2 linked regions of the Lytechinus pictus genome follow. The protein of the gene in region 2 purifies or fractionates together with the protein of the main gene of each other region. This does not show direct contact. Links are inferred from orthologs where the notes say so. Each region holds a gene or a part of one and is shown on either strand. Other genes may lie near its edges.

Evidence for each region.
Region 1: the proteins of chromodomain-helicase-DNA-binding protein Mi-2 homolog (region 2) and metastasis-associated protein MTA3-like fractionate together in Drosophila melanogaster (co-fractionation; 3 studies listed by BioGRID, with this or other methods). This does not show direct contact. The link is inferred for Lytechinus pictus from reciprocal best matches to the Drosophila melanogaster genes Mi-2 and MTA1-like.

Annotation. Positions count from the first base shown.
Region 1 is NC_087251.1:31,514,543-31,524,604, reverse strand, and holds the start of metastasis-associated protein MTA3-like, read right to left. Parts: upstream 4,293-10,062; 5' UTR 4,155-4,292; coding exon 4,127-4,154; intron 2,841-4,126; coding exon 2,773-2,840; intron 2,097-2,772; coding exon 2,003-2,096; intron 1,706-2,002; coding exon 1,518-1,705; intron 956-1,517; coding exon 838-955; intron 327-837; coding exon 224-326; intron 1-223.
Region 2 is NC_087258.1:16,771,481-16,782,013, forward strand, and holds the start of chromodomain-helicase-DNA-binding protein Mi-2 homolog, read right to left. Parts: upstream 4,160-10,533; 5' UTR 3,980-4,159; coding exon 3,871-3,979; intron 2,903-3,870; coding exon 2,808-2,902; intron 605-2,807; coding exon 530-604; intron 1-529. UniProt on the Drosophila melanogaster protein: ATP-dependent chromatin-remodeling factor which acts in nucleosome-remodeling by catalyzing ATP-dependent nucleosome mobilization. Involved in regulating transcription. Plays a vital role in development.

The sequences.
Region 1 (10,062 bases), on a different chromosome or scaffold from region 2:
TGTATTTTCAGACATATTTTCTCTCTCTTTCTTTATGTGGAGAGAGAAAGATGATACAACAAAAATGTCTGAATAATTCTATTGCCATATTCCCTTATCTTATTGCCACAATTAAGCACTATGACGTATGTTAATTAATTGCAACAGCACTATAAGAATGCTAATATTGTATTACATTGCATTGTAATTATTTTTAATCATCTTAAATGGAAATCAGACCCACCTTGCTAGAACCAGGAACTGATCGATGCTTCTATCATTCATGCAGTGTTCCGGGTTCCACGTCAGAGCCTCAAGACTAGAAAGGTCACGACCATCCGATTCACCTGGTGGGGGCAAAGAGATTGTGAAGGTGGGGGCATAGACAGTACCAACATTGTGTACATATGAGAGTATATGGAGACAGACAGGGAGTACAAATTCTCATGGCATCACATAGCAATTTAGATTCAATATCCATTCAATAAACCAATGCGAACACATACTCCTGTGCGGGCTGCTGACTGTCCTTAGTTGAGAAAACAATGTATGCAATTTGTGTTTGAGTACTAAAATGATGAACTGAACAACTCTAAATGCACAAATATGATAAGTTTCTGCAAAAAATCACAAAGTTTTGGAGATGTTTAAGAGAGCTTAATTGATTATACTAATGTAGCAACGATTTGTAATGTTCATGATGATGATGCATATACAGCAAGAATAAATTCAATCAATCAATCATAACACTTGAGAAATAATAGTACTGAAAATATTGCCATATAAAAGTGACCTATAATGTTACCATTACAGTGAGTAAAATAATAATGAGTTTGAATATAGAGTTGCAGACTGTACCTTCTGTGAGGAGTGGAGTGACATCAGCTTGATAGCGAGAACCAACTCTTATCTCTCCTTTATCTGCAAGCAAAGTCTTCTGTTGTGGGTCATACACCAAGGAATAGAAGAATGCATCCTACAAAGGCACAAACAAGGATAAAGGTGGAAATTGATAAGATTGTAAGTTGGGGAAACAAGTAAAATCTTGAAAATATGATTTACAAGAGCAATGAAAGGGTAGATAGATCTTTAGAATATGTTAATCAACAGATATTGCAAAATACTTGTGGCTCATGTATGTGTCAGCTTTACTGTCAAGTTCTTCATAACCTATCCCTAACCTACAAATAACATTCTACACCATTCTGCACTGCAAAGCAAACAGAAATGTATATGTCAATAGCTCAATATAAACAGAAACAGTGTTATCAATGGCTAACTATATACCAGATATATGTATCACACTTTACAACTAAATGGGATTATATGCTCCAAAATTAGTCTTGTATTTTAATAGACCTGGATCCTGTTGTATGAAAGTTACTTTTATGGTAACTTTGCCATCCAATGGTAACTTACCATGGTTACAGTCTTCAACAGCCAATCAGAATCAAGGATTTCAGGGAAGTTACCATTAGATGGCAAAGCTACTGAATAGTAATTTGTTATGCATCTATAGGCCCCTATTTAGAACTTACATCTTTTGACAAGTACGAGAGGAGACTCTCTGTCTCATTGAGCAGGGTGACTGTACATTTTCCTCTGATGTGTGTAGCTGGAAGCGTTTCTAACTGACGGGATAAGAACAGTTCACGATGTTTCAACTGATGACGTTGCTTCTCATTTAACTCTTCCAAAGCCTCCTCTTGTTCTTCCTCCAAAGCCACTGTAACAAAAAAAAAAAAAATGAATGGGGAAAATTATAAACACTGTCTAAAAATAAAGATATGAAACCATCAAGCTACATGTATACAAAACGATATACCGGTATGTGGTTAAATACTTGTGAATTGTTTTACTCACATATATACTGTTAGCAGAATGTTCAGAAAAATCAATAATTTTTATCATTAAAAAAATGTCTTCTTTTTTTTAATAATGAAGAAAAAATTATCTGTGCTTACAAAATGAAAATATACATAAATTTTATTATTCATATTGTATAGTTTATTCTCAAACTTACTTGCATGTTTATCAGCAAGCTGGATGAGTGAGTTGGGAATGTCTCTACGGCGGTAGAAACATACCACTTTGGCCTCCACATTGCCGCTGGCAGTCTGAAATAATGAAATATCAAAAACAGCACCATTAATTTTTTTTTCATAAAAATATTGTTGCAAATCACATATTTCTGAAGACATACATGGAAATTAACTGATCAATGTTCCAAATTCAAATAGGAAATAAAATTACAACATTCATATACATGTATGTGAAAATTTCAATTGCAATATACTGTGCCTAAAAAAACCTACAATTTAAGATAAGGCCTACTTACAGGGTGTATATCTTACATAAGATTGCTTATTTGTATCTCAATAACTTGCAAAATACTGAGAAAACTCATTAATTTTTATAATCGGAGAGTTCAATTTTATGCTTCTTTAGCTTCAAGTAGTGCAAATCAAAAAGCTACAGCAAGTGTCCAGTAAAGCTTAGAAATGATTTACACAATACTGCCACCATGCAGTAGCGTAATATACAGTATTTACATCCATATTTTGCACTGCTACATGCCACACTCATTTTCAAATTTATGTTGTTTCACACTTTCTCATTTCAAGATACAATCAGTTTACAATATAATTACTAAGGAAAAGACATTTTCAATGGTATGCATGTATATCCAAGTGCTCATGTACATTAGCTTTAAATGTATAATTCACTATTCACAGTGGTACAAGCAGAAAAAAAAAAAATATATATATATATATGTTTAAGAAAACAACATACTTTGTTGAGTTCTTCAATCCTGCGAATAAGATATGGCTGTGATGATGAAGTCTCAAAGTAGACATAATCTGTAATACACAAAATAAATGACATTATTTATTTCAATAAGAGCGATAATAATTCTAGCTAAACAACAATTCAATTTTAATTTTCAAACTTATTTCCAAGTATCGCTTACAGTGTTTGCAATAATTAGCTTATATGACATCATGCTGATTTGCATGATCCCACTGAAAGAAATCAACTGCTGGACCCACCTACCCCCCCCCCCCCCCCCCCCCACATAAAAAATAAAATAAATAACTTGTCCAAAGATAAATATATATGGGAGGGGAATCCACCATTGGAAATAAAATATTGTGTGAAACTGAAAATGAGAAAAGTAAATTAAAAAAAAGGGGGGGAGTTTGAGGAATCCGAATCCTGCCAAATCAGAAAAAGTAGTTCTATTTTAGTATTTACTGTTTCAATACAAGATCACCATGTCTAAGACTTTGTCTCAAAATAGTGCAAAGATCTAACGTTGCGCATGCATTTAGTCTACCTAAACAATTTGTGGACTTCAGTTACATGAAAATAATTTACCCTTTGGAGCTTGGGGTGATAATCAGGCCTATATAGCGAAAATAAGCAAAAGTTTTACCTCTAGACCTAGTCCTATTTACAAAAAATTCAGTGTTGATTTTTTTTTATTCATTCAACCATTAAATTCTAAATGTTACCAAAACTTCGTAAGCGTAAGTTTAAAACAGAAACAAAACATGAAACACATGTACATGTAGAAAAGTCTGTCCAAGAAAAGAAAAGGCCTTATTTTTAGATCAAGTGAATAATGAATGAATTTGAGAAAGTAAAAACTGAAACTTTGTGAAAGTGAAAAAATTAAATGTGAAAATGAAAGACCATCCTGAAAAAAAAATACAGAGGAGAAAATAAAGATTAATCAGCTGCACATACTTTGAAATGATAAAAGAAAGGCAATGAAGAAAACTAGAATTCTCTACGAGCCCCGGTTTAAAAGTTAATAAGTTTAAAGGTTTAACGGATTAAGCGGCCCACGCTCCGCAGCTCGACACCTACAATTTGCTGCAAAATTGCACAAAATTACCAGGGGTTCACAAAATTTGGTTTCTATATGAATTTGACGAATTATATTGACATATTTTCAATAAAAGATCCATCATCATCGGCGTCCTCATGTCATGAAACGACGCGTCTTTTCCTTTCTTTGTGTTCGGCCCGCTGCTAGTTAACTAAAACAAAATGGTGTCCGAATGGGCAAGACTAGCTCGTCGCGGTGTGAAAAAGAGTCGCTGCATGCCAAAAATACACATTTCTGCTCCCTTATACTCACCACCAACTCTATACATGTTAGCCGCCATTCTGGAAAGTAGTTGGAGTTTATATTTTTAAGACGAAATGGTGAAAATATAGATCTTTTTCGAGCGGAAGCCGCAGACGCTCACCCCCACGTCTGATTTTCCGTCTCGCCAACTCGCGCAGGTTAACTAACTAGTAGTTATATACGTGGTTTAACGCTAGATGGCGCTCGACCACTTCGCTGCCGATAGCCATGCGAACACTGAACTATTACGAATCGTACTTGATATAGGTAAGTGCATGCGAATAAACTCTTCCTGAGAGTTTTCTAATTAAAGGACAAGTCCACCCCAACAAAAACTTGATTCGAATAAAAAGAGAAAAATTCAACAAGCATAACACTGAAAATTTCATCAAAATCGGGTGTAAAATAAGAAAGTTATGACATTTTAAAATTTCGCTTCATTTGACAAAAGAGTTATATGCACATCCCGGTCGGTATGCAAATGAGGGAACTGATGACATCACTCACTCACTATTTCTTTTGTATTTTATTATATGAATTATGAAATATTTTGATTTTCTCGTCATTGTCATGTGAAATGAAGTTTCATTCCTCCCTGAATACGTGGAATTCCATTATTTTAACATTTTGTGGTTCAGGCAATAAGGAGGTCCTAATCGTCAAATTCGTAAAAATTGAAATATTGTATAAATCAAACAATAAAAAACAAAAGAAATAGTGAGTGAGTGACATCATCGACTCTCTAATTTGGATGTAACTGGCTCGTTCATATAACTATTTTGTTAAAAATAAGCGAAACTTTGAAATGTCATAACTTTCTTATTTTACATCCGATTTTGATGAAATTTTCAGCATTGTGCTTGTCTGATTTTTCTCTATTGATTCAAATCAACATTTTGTTGGGGTGGACTTGACCTTTAATATGGAGCTTTTGTCTCAATTAAAGGCCTACCGGGAACAGATGTATGTATTGCAATTTTAGATTTAATATTCAAGAATTTTTAAGATCTTCATTTTCAAAATAAATATATTCTATATAATATTATATAAAATATATTCTATATGGTAGGCCAATATATAAAATGTAGGCCTATTAATACCATATGTATAAATTGAATTGATTTTTTTTCATATGCTCTTAAATATCAATAGACCTATTTATTACATTTATATTTGCATATACATGTAGCCTACATTATTGGAGGGGAAGTACTCTGCCAAAAAGTTTTAAAGTAGCAGATAAATTTATTGAAAAAAAATATTGGTGAATTTATTGTGGAAAATCCATCAAAGATTATACAAATTGTTAGAATGATTTGTTATTTTTAGTTTAGTATATGCAAGCAACTTCCTCATGTATAATTTATTTAAAAAATCAATGAAATATCATTTTCAAAAAATAGAATGGTTGTGATTGTACCTGCAATATCAACAGACAAATTATTTCACACGTGAATCACGCGAGCTGATTTTATGTATACATGTATACTCAACAAAAAAAGTAAGTCCCCATTTAATCAAAATGCTGTAACTTTAGTTTTGAACGCAATAATTTTGAGATATAATATTTCGCAGGTGGTTTACTTCACTTAGAGAGCAACTCCTGTGAAAAAAAAAATTAGATTAATTGGTTGAGTCATGAGTAATTTAAGTAAATATGACAATTTTTTTTTAAGGAGCAATTTTTCGGATCGTGTAAGTACAGTTGGGGGAAATTTGTTTTTGGTGAACTTTACGGTGCTTATATGCTCTTTTACTATCTATAACCAGATGTTGTTTGAAGGTTTGCATGGTGGTATGTACAATCGCTGATGTGGTTTACGGTACACCATGTGAAGTGTTGTAGAAACAGTGGATAGGAGAAGAGAAGAAATGGATAGGCGAGAAAGTGGAGATTTGAGTCTCTCTACTGCTCATCATCTCTACTCGCCGACTCAAGCCAGCATCTCCTCACTAGCTCTACTACTCAAGCTGTTCTCAACTCATCAATCTTTCCTGGTTTACAGTCCTTTTCAGGACTACTTTCAAGAAAGAATACTCTACTCTCAAATCTCCACTTTCTCGCCTATCCATTTCTTCTCTTCTCCTATCCACTGTTTCTACAACACTTCACATGGTGTACCGTAAACCACATCAGCGATTATCCATAACCAATCCACACAAAATGTTGGTAACGTATATTCATGGTTTTCATGGTTGAGTGAACATAATATTTTTGTGACTTATTATCATAAAGGTTTATGATGGTAGTGCCTTTTATAACTTTAAAAAAAAGTTAAATGGAAAATGTTAGTGGCGTCCCTTCCCAATTTCTCCACTCCCTCCCCCATGTGCATTTTCAAATTCTGGATCCAGACAAATAATTTGTCCCTAAATTCAACTGATCTTGAGAAACTGTCAGAAAAGAATGCATTTATGTAGTAGTAAGAGCCCGGGAGTAAGAGTAATCATTCCCAAGTTTTTCAGTGTGCTCGCTCACCAATGTATTTGTATATTATATATATATATTGAACTTTGTATTTTGCATTAATTTGTCTTATTCATTGAAAGAAACCTTTAATAACAAGCTTTGCTTTTCAGAAGGTTTCTATTTCATTTCATAATGTTATATTATATTTTTCTTTACTTTGTAACCTTGTTAAAATTTTGGAATGAAATAAATTCGTTATCAATCAATCAATCAATCATGAAAGTGTAAAAAGTTCGGAGATATAGTGTGTGGTGATAATGGATGATTAAAAGCAACAGCAATTATAAGTCACAGTTGAAACAGAATTTGCCCCCATAGCAGGGGCCGCGGAACGGTTTCCGGGCTGAGCCAAATTGGGGGGGGGGGGCTGACCATGCAAAAAATCACAATCATATGGTAATTTTTACGTTTTTGTACACGGTTTTGGAAAAAAATGGAGGGCCCCCCAGCCGCCCCCCCCCGCTTCCGCGCCCCCTGCATAGGAAGTTTACATGGGGAAGTGCAGCCAAAATTTATCTCGATAGACTGTTTAAATTACAAAAACGTGCAATAAAAATAGTTAATCATTCATCTTTTTTAGCCCATACTTCACCCATATTTTATAATCTAAAACTTTTAAACATTTATGACATATATCAATACCAGCTTGGAATCTTTATGTTTTTATGTTATCGGAAACTTTTACCCACTTCTCTATTAGAATATTTTAACTTGAATTGCAATATACATTCTTATCCTATGAGAAATGCAAATAATTTTCATCTTCCTAAAATAAGAACGTCACTGTCACACCAATCAATCATTTATCAAGGTCCTGTAGTTTGGAATTCACTAACAGATGAAATACGTAATGCAAAAACACTTAATGTATTCAAAACAAAGTTCAAAAGATACCTTCTTGAGAAATACAGTGGCTGAATGATGTATGAATTATGTATTTCACTTGTATTATTATAATTATTGTAATATTATGTTAGGGCATGGCACTTTTTGATGTCTTGGTTCATTGTTTATGTGCATTTTTAAGTTATTTTGTTTGTTTTTAGAAATGTTTTTGCTGTATCCCTGTTATTGCATTTTCTATGTCACCTTTTCGTTTTAATAATGGGTCGGCCTAATTATAAGGATTTTTTCCTTTTAGGCTGCTACCCCTCAATATGATTCTGAACCATAATGCAATTTTTTGACCGTCTTTCGATTTGTAATATACATGTATTTTAACTTTGTATTATATTTGTTTTTTATGTAAGGTTTTACTGAGAGAATAAAACAATTTGAATTTGAATTACAACGCTTCAAAATGAGTCTGTGACTTATTGTCATTTTTGTCCTTTTGATGGGTGCTCACTCATCCATAAATAAACAAATCAATTTCATCTTGCTCAAAATTGTGCCCATATTCGTGATATGCTCTTTCGAATCACAAGCCAAAATTTTTGATAAACTGTCATGAAAAGGGGATTTTATAAATAGTTTGTTATATAATTTATACGATATACATTACTCACCAATCAAAATGCGAGCGCGAGCAGTGCTAGCTGATAGGTTTTGGAATACACAAAGATAAAGGTACTTGCAGTGGCGTAACTACGAGGGAAGGGCACGCGCCCCCCCCCCCCCCAATCGGCTGGCAAAAAAGAAACGGAAGAAAAGGAGAAAAAGAGGGAAGAGGAAAAAGAAATGTAGTGGGAGGAGAAGAAATTATATTGTATTATATTATTTTATATATATTATACTATATTACAAAATATTACATAAGATTTTTTGTCATAACTTTAATAATGAAACATTATTGCTAAGGGTCTTCCCTGCATGGTGTTCGCATTGTCTGTTCAATCAATCCTGTTGTATTACAAAACATCCTGTTTTCACGTCAATGTACGCCAAACATAATATCCTTGCACTTCGAGTTATTATTGATTTTTATCGTGACATGTTTTTTTTCATGACCATACTAAAAGTGATTGCCCCTTTTAAGGTCCGAATATATAAAACATTTCAAGTCCGCTTACGTACACATTAGTGGATTGGTGAGATATGTGTGCTCTTTATGAATTCCTAAAAATAGTCCTTAAATGCCCCTATTTCTGGTCTGAATATCAAAAATGTTTAGCTCGCGCTTCGCGCTCGCACCATTTGGTTAATGCCACGTATATGGTCTTAATATGATTCTTAAAATCAAGCCTTAGACTGCCCCTCTTCATGTCTGAATTTCAAAAAATTTCAGCTCGCGCTTCGCGCTCGCTCCATTTTGTTAATGAAATACGTATATGGTCTTAATGATTCTTAAATTCAAGCCTTAGACTGCCCCTCTTCATATCTGAATTTCAAATATTTTCAGCTCGCGCTTCACGCTTGCAATATTTGAGATGCATACCATGTTCATGATTACATGACTACAATGAGTGCTTCATGTGTTTCTGACAAAATCAGCACTATATGGTGAGATTATGAGATATGTATGCTCTTCATGAATTCCTAAAAGAAATAGTCCTTAAAATAACCCTGTTTGGGGTCAATATATAGAAATGTTACAGATCGCGCTCGCATTGTTTGTATAATAAGACAGGATATGTATCATAATCACAAAAATTTGCTTACTCCTTTTTTAGGTCTTAATATCTATATTAAAAAATCAACTCGCGCTACGCGCTCGCATTATGAGATACATATATCCGTTTAATGGCACAGACCTTAAAATGTCTCTAGGTCACAACCGGGCAACTAGCGCACTTCGCACGACCAATAAGTGACTCAAAATTTTTGCTGGTGCCCCCCCCCCAATGCTGTGACCCACGGTACACCACTGGGTACTTGACAATTCTTAAAATGAAAATGTTGATACTCGGACAATAAAACAGACATTTTACAGATTACTTTTTAAAAATCAATTTGTAAATCAAACAAAATAATGAAAGCTCGCTGTCCGAGCTGAATGTTTTGTATATTGACTTCAAAACTTGATTTGAGCTCCATATCAGTCTATTGACTAAGATATGTATCTCATCGAACATACAATGCGAGCGCGAAGCGCGAGCGAAAATTGTATATGAAAGATTTAAAAAAAATAATAATTTCCAAGTCTTCCCCTCACCTTATTCACTCGTCGGCATGCCCACTCGTCTTCTCCTCCTTTTTTTACCTCTTTTCCCCATCTCTTTCCCTTCTTTCTCCTTTTTTCCCCTTTCCCCCTTTTTTTCCTTTTTTTTTTGCCTTGCCAATAGGGGGCCTAGGTCCTGCCCCTAGATCCGCCTACGAGTTCGTATGCATTAAATTCTGATTAAAAAGTCCTAGGCGGCCGGCCGGTGCCATTTTATTAAAAAAATTACTTGGAAGGGGGGGGGGGCTGGATAGACTTGACTTCGGGAAAGCAAATGAACTTATTTTGTCTCCCAACACCGGGTCCCAACACCAGTTGAAAATGCTAGTGATGTTCATTCTAAGGGACACCGTAGCTTCTGTCATACCTATTGAA
Region 2 (10,533 bases):
ACAATATTAAACATGTAACTACCCAACGTTAATGATGATTTCTTTAACATCAGTTTTCCAAGTGTCACTATTTGCTACTATGTAGGCCTACATTCAACATTTAATTTCACATGCATTGGATCATGAAAGAACATGCATAACATAAATCTTCATTATTCATCACAAACGAAAGTGAAACATATTTCAGAAAAAAAAAATAAATCATGAAAAAAATAGAATAACAAAGAATATTAATATAATGAAAAAGACAAAATAACAAAAATATTACAAACATTTTCAACACCTGAAATCAAAGTGAAAAATAAGGAACAATTTACACTGTAATATGTGCTGGAATGGAAGCATCTACTTGGAATCATTCTGCTTGGTGGAATTATTTTAGTTCACAACCCAACCCCTGCTTAACATGCCCCTACACACTTTTTCAATCAATCATCACATGCAACCTAAGTGCACTGATGTATCTAAGGGAAATAATGCCACAAGAATTTTGAAATTGAATGTCAATTTTCAGAGATGCGACTCCAACCTTGAATTCTTTCTTCTTTTTGCTCTTAGTTTTGGCCTCTCCTTCAGAATCATCACTGCCATGGTGGTCACTCACCTACATGCAAAAACAAGCCAAAACCACAAGCAAGAAAGATATTAATCCAAACCAAAAATGATGAAAATGTAACATAGACAGTATTCAATGGGGTCATGAAGTGATCACAAAGCATGTACACTGTGCAGTCAAACTAAATATTATTATTTTTTAAATACACGGAGCCTAGGGACGAATCCCCCCCCCCCAAAAAAAAAAAATGCTCAAAATAGCACTGAAAACTTGAATATGGATCCATGGAAAATCCCCAATCATTGCAGTGTTAAAGCTTATTGAATGTTGCACATTCATGCAGTATATGTGAAAAGAAGCCACAGGAAGAAGAAACAAAATTTGCCTGTCTTTAAGTGACATTTTCACCTTAAAATCAATTGCATGTGCATGTACTTGTCTATCTCAAACATCTAACATTAAAGGGTCTTTAAAGATTGAGTTTTAAACCTACATAAGGACTGCAAAACTTACTGGCAGCAAACCACAAATCGTTGTGTTGGTGCAAGAACACTCTTAACTCCACACTTTTACACATTGCATGCAAGCAAAAACGCCCTTAGCAGCACGTACATGTATAAGAGCATTGCGTAAGGATGTTCTTGCACTGACACAGCGAAATGTCTGTGTACATGTACAGTACCAGTCACAATTCTTTGAATCACTATTCCCTGTTTCAACCAGAGAACAATAGATTTGGTCCACTGATTCTATTGTTCTCTGGCCGAAACAGGTAACAGTGAGTCAAAGAATTGTGTACTTGATAGACTACATGACAAAACTGCTGCCATGACAAATAAAAACATTCAAAGCATACATTCAATGGATTTGAGTGCAGAGTGCAGATTAAAAACACTATCATCTTGTAAATGAGAATCCTGTGAGGACTCATGCGTTTTGTTAACACTTTCATCATGAAACTGCTTAAGAACAAATATAAATGGACCTTAATTTTTTTTAAAGATACGGTGGACTGTACATACATGTAGAAGGAACTGCCTAAAAAGAATTGTGAAATAATGGCAAATAAATGTGCACTTAAGAATTAATAGTTTTCATGTATTATATGATCATGATTCATTGTAAGATTTTGGTGATTAGGAATTGATACTATTTTGCTGCACATGACTAACATACAGAAAAGAGAAGATTTATGATTAAGGAACTACATGTACTGTACATGTATAAACATGTAGCTTGGACAATTCTGCTACATTTTTCCTTCATACATGTATCTATAGTACATGTATTAGAATACTTGAAGAGCAATAATTGACAGCACTTTTATACATAAAAATTTACTTCCCTCTTTACAAAGCTCAAATTATTTTATTTTTTTAGTTCAATTCCACAAAAAGCAATTTTAATAGAAAAATAAATCAAATATACATGTCATTGTAAAATATTGAGATAACTTGGATATTTTTTTTTTAATTCTTAAATTGAATCAAACATTTATTTCAGAGCATATCTGGAAGGTACATGTGCGGCCACATGCATATTGTATTCTATTAAATATGTAATTGTTGAGAAATTGGTTTGATACAAGAAAAGAAATATTAAAAAATACTACCGGTACTAAAAATTAACATCTTGACACTTTTATTGTAGATTAAAGTTTTAAGTAAACTATCAGTTTTTTATTTTGGATCGATCTCAAAAAATCATCTCTGTGATTTATGGTATTGTTTCATTCTAGATGATTTTTTTTAAGGGAGTAATCTTAAGATTCACCAAAACTTAAATACTTTAATCTAATGTACATGTATGCAACTATGATTTACCGATGACTGAAACTCTGCAAGTGCGATGAATTTAAAACAATAACTACTATATACAGGGCCCTCACAATAAGGTCTTCAAGCAGACATGATGTAGGCCTACCAATCCTTTCAAATTCTTCAGTAAAATGACAATGTGCAAATTAGTGAACAATCTATAAGTGAATGGTAACAGAAACAAATTAAATACAAACTTAATTATAAATGTATGCAAAATTATGTCTTTTTTCATACATGTATGAAGCCTTCAACTCAAGAAAATTTAATTTCTAATAATGAATTAGATATTCCACATCTACAACTTGTACATATTTATTCAAACTAATACAAAAGTGATCAACAGCATGTATTAGTCACCAACAATAAAGATGAAATGCATGCAATAAATTAAAAACAGGGCCCGCTTTGACTGAAACGCATGAACAAATTACCTCACTATCTCTCTTGCGTTTTTTAGATTTTCCATCCTTTCTTTTGTCCTTCTTATTCTTTTTACTTTTTTTCTTCTTTGGTGGGGTATCCCCATCTGTAAGAAAAAAAAAATTTACAAAAAAATGTTGACAAAATGTGCATCACTACAATTGAAATTAAACACTAAAATATTTTCAAGTTTAGCGGACTGGAAATTGCCATTTTAACCGAATGCCATGTACCGGTAGATATTCTGAAGTTAGAAATTTATTTAGAATCATAAACAACTTGATGAACATGTACTGTGTAGGATAACCCAATAATAACTTGCTACAAAGAATGAAATATATAATATATGAACAAATTTTCAGTCAAAATATTGCTTTCCTAAAATATTCTTTTTCAGTCAGACATTGTATTTTGCATTGGCAAGCGCAAGCAGCTAGCCGCAACTAATTCACTCACACAGCTGTTTTCATACATGTGTACAACACAGCAAGCAACACACGCTAAAAGCTATTCACGTGTAAGCTACACGCTACTACACACACACACACATGCTTTGTCAAGCACGGGCAGCGCAGACAAACCACACAGGCTCATTCATTCACCGTGCGAAAATGAACAGATTGATAATTATCTTCATAACTAATCCGCTTGCGGCTCTTCGCAAAAAGCTCTAATTTTCACAACTTTTTCAGTCCAAATCAAGAAAAATAATACCAGCAGAGTAAAACTAAATTGTCATAGCATAACATGGACACACATTTCTTAGGATTTGGCGCCGGGAGTTCAAAAAAGTGTTATTGGAAGATCGCCGGTGTTTTAGCGTTCGCTAGAGACGATGATCGATCACGTCGTTATTTTAGTTACGATGATCGGCGGACCTTGACCAATCTCGGATATATTGCTTAAAAATCACGATTTCGAGCTGAAAATTAACACGAGCATTCTTGGAAACCTAAAGAATTGTTAGATACACCATAAACTATGCCACAACAAAATTTGAAAGAAAACCAATCACTGTATCACACTCATAAAAATCGTCAATATCATCGATATTTTCAATAATCATTCACATACCGAACTCGGCCTGTTCGCCTCCCTCGTTGATGGCCCCACTCTCACCGGTCGTGTCTAAATCATATCCATAATCTTCCGTTTCTTCGTCCTTTTTGGCAGCTCCTGGCATTTTGGAATGATGTGAGAATATTCCGCGAACGGAATCCTCCAGCCAGAATACTCACACCCTGTCCCAAAGTGATGAAGAAAATCCGGGTTACCGAAAGGGGAGGAAGTCGGAAGATGGCGGAGACAAAACTTACCCCCTCGACAAAAGGGTAGTAAATCGTTAATTGCACATGCGCATAATGACGTCAGTGGCCCTTACTTCCATCCCATAATAATTACTTCTCCATCCCATAATAGTTACATCTTAGTTAATGGCATAGGCTAAGGATAGCTTACTACTGGGATATGTAAGATGTGTTTGGGGTGATTTTGGAGGGGACATATTTGAGTTATGATGAACTTGACAACAACATACCCTTATTCAATGAAGCATTATAAATTGACATTGTTTACAACACTCGGCTTATAATGCGTGTTTCTTTACAAAATGTACCTTATTTACATATCTGAAGCCTGCGTGGTATATATATGTTTCCGCATTAACATAATTTCATGAAAGTTCGGAGGCGCGGTCTTCCACGGCTCACATTCATATATTGACATTTTGACAGTTTTTATTTCAGCAAATCTTGTAGTGATAGTGGGAGATTTCTTTTCGAATCGAATTTAGGACATTGCAATTGAAATGTTTAAAACATTCTTACTATGTTCTTCGCCCAGTAAAGTACATCACCCTTTTGAATTTCTTCATTTCGTTCTTTGGGCCTACTCAGCAAAGGCATGAAAAATAATTTGAACTTTTTTATTTTCTTTCTTCGTTCAGCAAACTGGAACTTAGAGCTCATTTATACCCTACAGGCCATATGCATGCATTATGGAGACAGTGAAATGTTTTAAACTTGTTCATCTTGTTCTTCGCTGGGCAAAATCTTCCTCCATTTAAACTTTCCAATTTCGCTCTTTCGATCTGCAAATAGTTTCAACTTAGGAAAGTTTTAAAACTTTTTCATCCGCTTTGAACTCATACCCATGCAAAATTAAACTTTTTCGTTTTTCTTCGCTTAGGCTGAGGCTATAGGGGAGGCTCAGCTCCTTAAGACACTGATACTTTTTTGTCAGTCTCTTAACTGTACAACCAAACATCATAGTTTAAACTTTCTCATTCTGTTTGGTGTTCAGCAAAGTTGTACTCATTAGTTTAAAACTACCTTTCAACAATCAACCGTCTCATTTGAATTATAGGTTCAGATTTCTTTTATAACCTCGGTTTATCCCGAAGATACTCCTCATTCAGAACTTTGGTATGGTATATTATACATTTGCTTTGTAAGAACATGGACCTACTAGGGTCCATGGTAAGAATAATGCCAAATTCATGCAATGATCGATGTGCCATGTCAATCCGTGACAGGCTCCTTATCTATACTACCACATTTCACGGCTATAGCTGGTTCCATTTTACATGTTTTACTTAGGCAATTATGTATAAAAATCTAACATTTTTTGTAAAGCAAATTAACTCATTATCACCTCGTTGCATCGACGGGAATAATTGTTCGAGAAATGTTCCAACAATTATGTTTAAGCTTTCTTGAAACTTAAGTTCTTCGCACACCGATGCCCGATACAATAGATCCAGCTATCATCTTGATCATTTCCTACAGAAATTCTAATGTTCTTTCCTCAACTCATATATATGGATTTATGTCTATATGTCTACATAAAAATGTAAAACGTTTTCTGAATTAAATTGACTTATACATCACATTTTGTAGAATGTTGTAAAAGCCTAGCTGCTTTTACAACTTTTGCTCATTCTCCTGAAGTTTCAAATTTTTTGGTATGATTGAGGATTGTCTCATTCTCGTGAAGACGGTATATAAGAACACACTACACCTGTCGAAAAGTCGAGTTTGGGTAGTAATTTTCAAGACCAACATATATGCCCACACACTCTTCTTCTTCGCCATGCCAGGGAAACCTTCAGCAGTTACATCACCTTTTTATTGTTTCTTCCTCTTTTTTTTTTTTTTATAAATCCCCTTCATTTTTCTCCTTCCCCCTATACTACTTGAAAAGTCATATAATGCGGCGATGGCCCCTGCTCCCATTTGAGGCGCCGCCTCCCCCTAAAATTTTGAATACAGCGAAGCATTATGAGGTGGGTCGTCTTGTTTCCCGCGGCCCCTATAAAGTCACAAAAATATCAAGAAATCGTAGCGTTTGGCAATAACTGATTGGTCTAGAATAAGCCAATTTCCCCTCTCTTAAGAGAATACCACACTGGCGTACAGATGAGGGGCTTGGGGTTCTGAACCCCCCCCCCCATTTTTTTTTTTTTTTTTCAAGACCAAGAAAAAAAAAGGAAAAAGGGAAGGGTGAAGTATGATATTATTTTCTTAACATTATGGCGGCGATCCTGGGGGCGGGGGGAGGGGCTCAGTGCCCTCCACTTTTTGGAGCACTGAAAGTGCCCTTTTAAGCGAGAAAAAATGTCCCCTCACGAACGTGTTCTGTGCCCCTTTCACCTGAGAAAGACCCGTTTGTGTGTTAACGAGTACTCCCTTGCCTTTTTGTAAGTGGCCTTTCTCGAATCGGTGCCAAGAAAAGTGCCACTCATGAACGTGTTCTGTGTCCCTTTCAACTGAGAAGGACCCGTTTTATGTGTTAACGAGTGCCCCTTTGCCTTTTCATAGCCTCATTATAGGTGCCTGTTATTCAAATAAGTTGTTCTTAAAAAGCACTCTTTTCGTGCCCGATGAGCGCCAGGTTTCTCTATTTAGCTTTCTTAATGTGATTAATGCGCCAAATCCAATCTACAGAGTGCCCAAGGCGCATGGTATATGGATTCTTCTCCCTTCTGCAAACGGTGCATCCTTATTTAATCGCATAATCCCTTTCAAAATATGATTTGCCCCTTTCGCTAATTTATGTTACTACTTATATGAAGGAAAGAATTTGTAAGAGTAACCCTGTGTGCATAAAGTTTCATGAGTCATGTGAGTGGGGTATATAAGTCTTTTTTCCCCTTTGTTTTAGGAAAGTGCCCTTTTCGAAAGAAAAGTTTTAACTTTTGAATACAAAATTAATTTTGCAGTAGATTTTTACATATAGTATTCAGAAAATTATATTATCGTTTTTTTTATTCCACTTTCCCTTTCTTTATTTTTCTCCTTTTTTGTGGGGGGGGGGGGGTCCATGCACCCAAGGCCCCCCCCCCCCATCTGTATGCCAGGGACTGAAGGTGATAGCATATACCAGCCTATAATCACGACGGCCTTGTATGAGATACATTGGCCCTACACTGTATAAACACTGTTTAAAATTTTAAGCACGTTGTTTAAGTCCATCACTCTAACTATATAGTTTAAACTTTGTAAACAACTGTTGAAAAATATTTATAAACAACTGTTTAAACTTTTTAAACAACTATTTAAACTTTTTAAAGTTTAAAAAGTTTAAACAGTTGTTTAAAAAGTGTAAACAATTACAAATAAAGTTTAAACAACTTGTTGTTAGAGTGACAGGCTTAAACAATATATAAGCTTCTTTTTTTTTACTGTGTATATTAGTGAAAATATAATTCTCTCTGGTTTATTGCCACAATGCCCATAACCATGGCAACGCTGTTATTTGATTGACACTTTCGAAAAATGTAAATTTTACATGCATCTTCTCTCCAAAACAAGTGGGAATACTGCTGGACCAGCATTATGTGGGCATATATCCCTAGTTGTCATGTTCATGATTCTTTCAGATCTTACATTCTAATCTGGGGCCCGTAACACAAAGCTTAGCAATGATCGTAGAACATTTTTCTACGATTGGTTCCATTGAATATAATGTACAATCAATCATAAAAATCAAGCGTACGATTAATCGCTAACCTTTGTGTTACGGGACCCAGGCGTTTCTGTCTAGCTCCTCTATAACTTATTCCATATTGGCATCAATCTTGTAGCCCCTCACGACCATATCATCTTTTTTTTTGACCTATTCCATAATGTTTTTTTTTCACTTGCGGGCGTATGTGCCTTCTAATTATCATTCTGGTTGTTTGCTTGCAAGCATTCATGCTTTCTTAGCAATCAGGTAAAAAAAAATCACCACCACCACCAACAAATATATTATTAAAGGACAAGTCCACCCCAACAAAAAGTTGATTTGAATAAAAAGAGAAAAATCCAACAAGCATAACACTGAAAATTTCATCAAAATCGGATGATAAATAAAAAAGTTATGACATTTTAAAGTTTCGCTTAATTTCACTAGACATTTATATGCACATCATGCATGGTCGGTATGCAAATGAGGAGACTGATGACATCATCCACTCACTATTCCTTTTGTATCTTATGAAATATTGTAATTTTCTCCTCATTGTCAAGTGAAACAATGATTAATTCCTCCCTGAACACGTGGAATTAGCATTGTTTAATACTATATCGTTCTGTCAGGTTTGTCCTTATTGTCAAATCTGTAAAAAATGAAATATTGTATAATTCAAACAATAACAAAAACAAAAGAAATAGTGAGTGATGGACATCATCGACTGTCTCATTTGCATGTCACTGAGATGTGCATATCACTGTTTTATGAAATATAAGTGAAACTTTAAAATGTTATAACTTTCTTATTTTACATCCGATTTTGATGAAATTTTCAGCATTACGCTAGTTTGATTTTTCTCTGTTTATTCCAATCAACATTTTTCGGGGTGGACTTGACCTTTAATTTAATGAGTTTTAATTTGGGGTTGTAATTTTTCTTTCCAGCAATCTGCTTATAATTACAATCCTAGTCCTGCAAATTGTGAATGTTGATAGTTTAGTTGAATATTTATACTATTAAATATAAAACAATTAAACTTCGCATTAAAGTACTTTTAAACATAATTATTGTGTGTGGTCTCTCATTGTCTGTGTGTTATAAATACATAGTCTTAAAATATACATTTTCAGATATCTACTACAGAGAATAAATTGACCTATAATTGTTTTTATAGAGAGAAACTTAAATGTTTTGAAAGGAAAAGTAATTGTTTTGCAACTTGGTAACATAATTATTGCGGTATAAATGTATTGAGTAGTTAATTAGCATGTTATCATTCAAGTGGGTCTATATTACTAGACTACACTAGTATTATGGGTCAGGAAAATGGCCAGGTATGAGTAGTTGAGGACTCAAGATGGCGCTATTGGTTCGTATCTGCTTTAATGCGAAGTTTCATTGTTTTACTGTGCTTTAAAATGTTTTTTAAAAACATAATTTGTACTGCATTATTATATATTTTTTTCAACTTATATGCACTTATGTCTCCTCCATCCTAAAAATAAACTTTGCATTAAAATACTACTAAACATGTGTTTTATAATGCGAAGTTTAATTGTTTTAATGTGCTTTTTAATGTTTTTAACATAATTTGAAATGTTTTTTTTTTATACAAGTTGTCACAATTATTGGGGGGGGATGATAAAGTTTGCCCCAATATTTTCATTGGGGACAATCGCCCCTGCACCCCCCCCCCCCCGATCGACGCCTCTACCACATATCACATACACCGGGTGCCATTTTATAAAGAGTACAACAATGGTAACTTCGCCATTTCGGAAACTATACAGGTCATTTTTATAAGTGCTTTTTTGTATTTTTCATGACAATTTCTCTTCGCTCTTTCCATAATATGTATTTTTGTTCAAATTTCAATTTTACAGTAGCATTAAAAGACGAGTCCACCCCAACAAAGAGTTAATTTGAATAAAAAGAGAAATCCAACAAGAATAACACTGAAAATTGTATTATCTTATCTGTCAGTTACTTGTAAAATATGAACCTGTTCGAAATCTTAGATCACTTCATAATGATTTATATAACGTACCCGTTTTATGGCGAACGGGGGTTGCTCATGCAGCGCCGGAACTCTGGAATAGTATCCCACACAATTTAAGGCAAGTTGATACAATTGGGCAATTTAAATCTGCATTGAAAGCATATTTATTTAACTGAAAAGAATATTATCAAAGCATCACCAGCAGTCTTCCCTCTTCTTTTTCCTAAAGCGCATTGAGACCTTTGTAAGGTGTAATGCGCTATACAAAAGCTGTTCTATTAAAATTTCATCAAAATCGGATGTAAAATAAGAAAGTTATGACATTTTGAAGTTTTGCTTAATTTCACAAAACAGTTATATGCACATCCTGGTCGGGATGCAAATGAGGAGACTGATGACGTCATCCACTCACTGTTTTTCTCTGATTATAATTAATCAACATATTTCTGGGCATGTGGACTTGACCTTTAAGACTGATACATCCCTTGTAAATTTGTACCTGAAGAGCGCAATTGATTGCAAATATTTTCTTGCAGCACCCCCTGAGACTTATCAACTCCCAAGTCTTATTTTAAAACCGATTTTGAGAAAACTACTTAGAATCATACTGATCCTTTAATTTTATTCTTTCGTCTCAGATTGATTCTCTCCTTGGATTTGGGTTTCCTCTAAACCCACTTGGTCATCAACCACCCAATGCCTAGATGGTGTACTTCCCACTTTTTGTCTAATTACTATTTTGCACTTTGTCAAATATAACTTGGTTTAAGGGTTGGTCCAGGCTG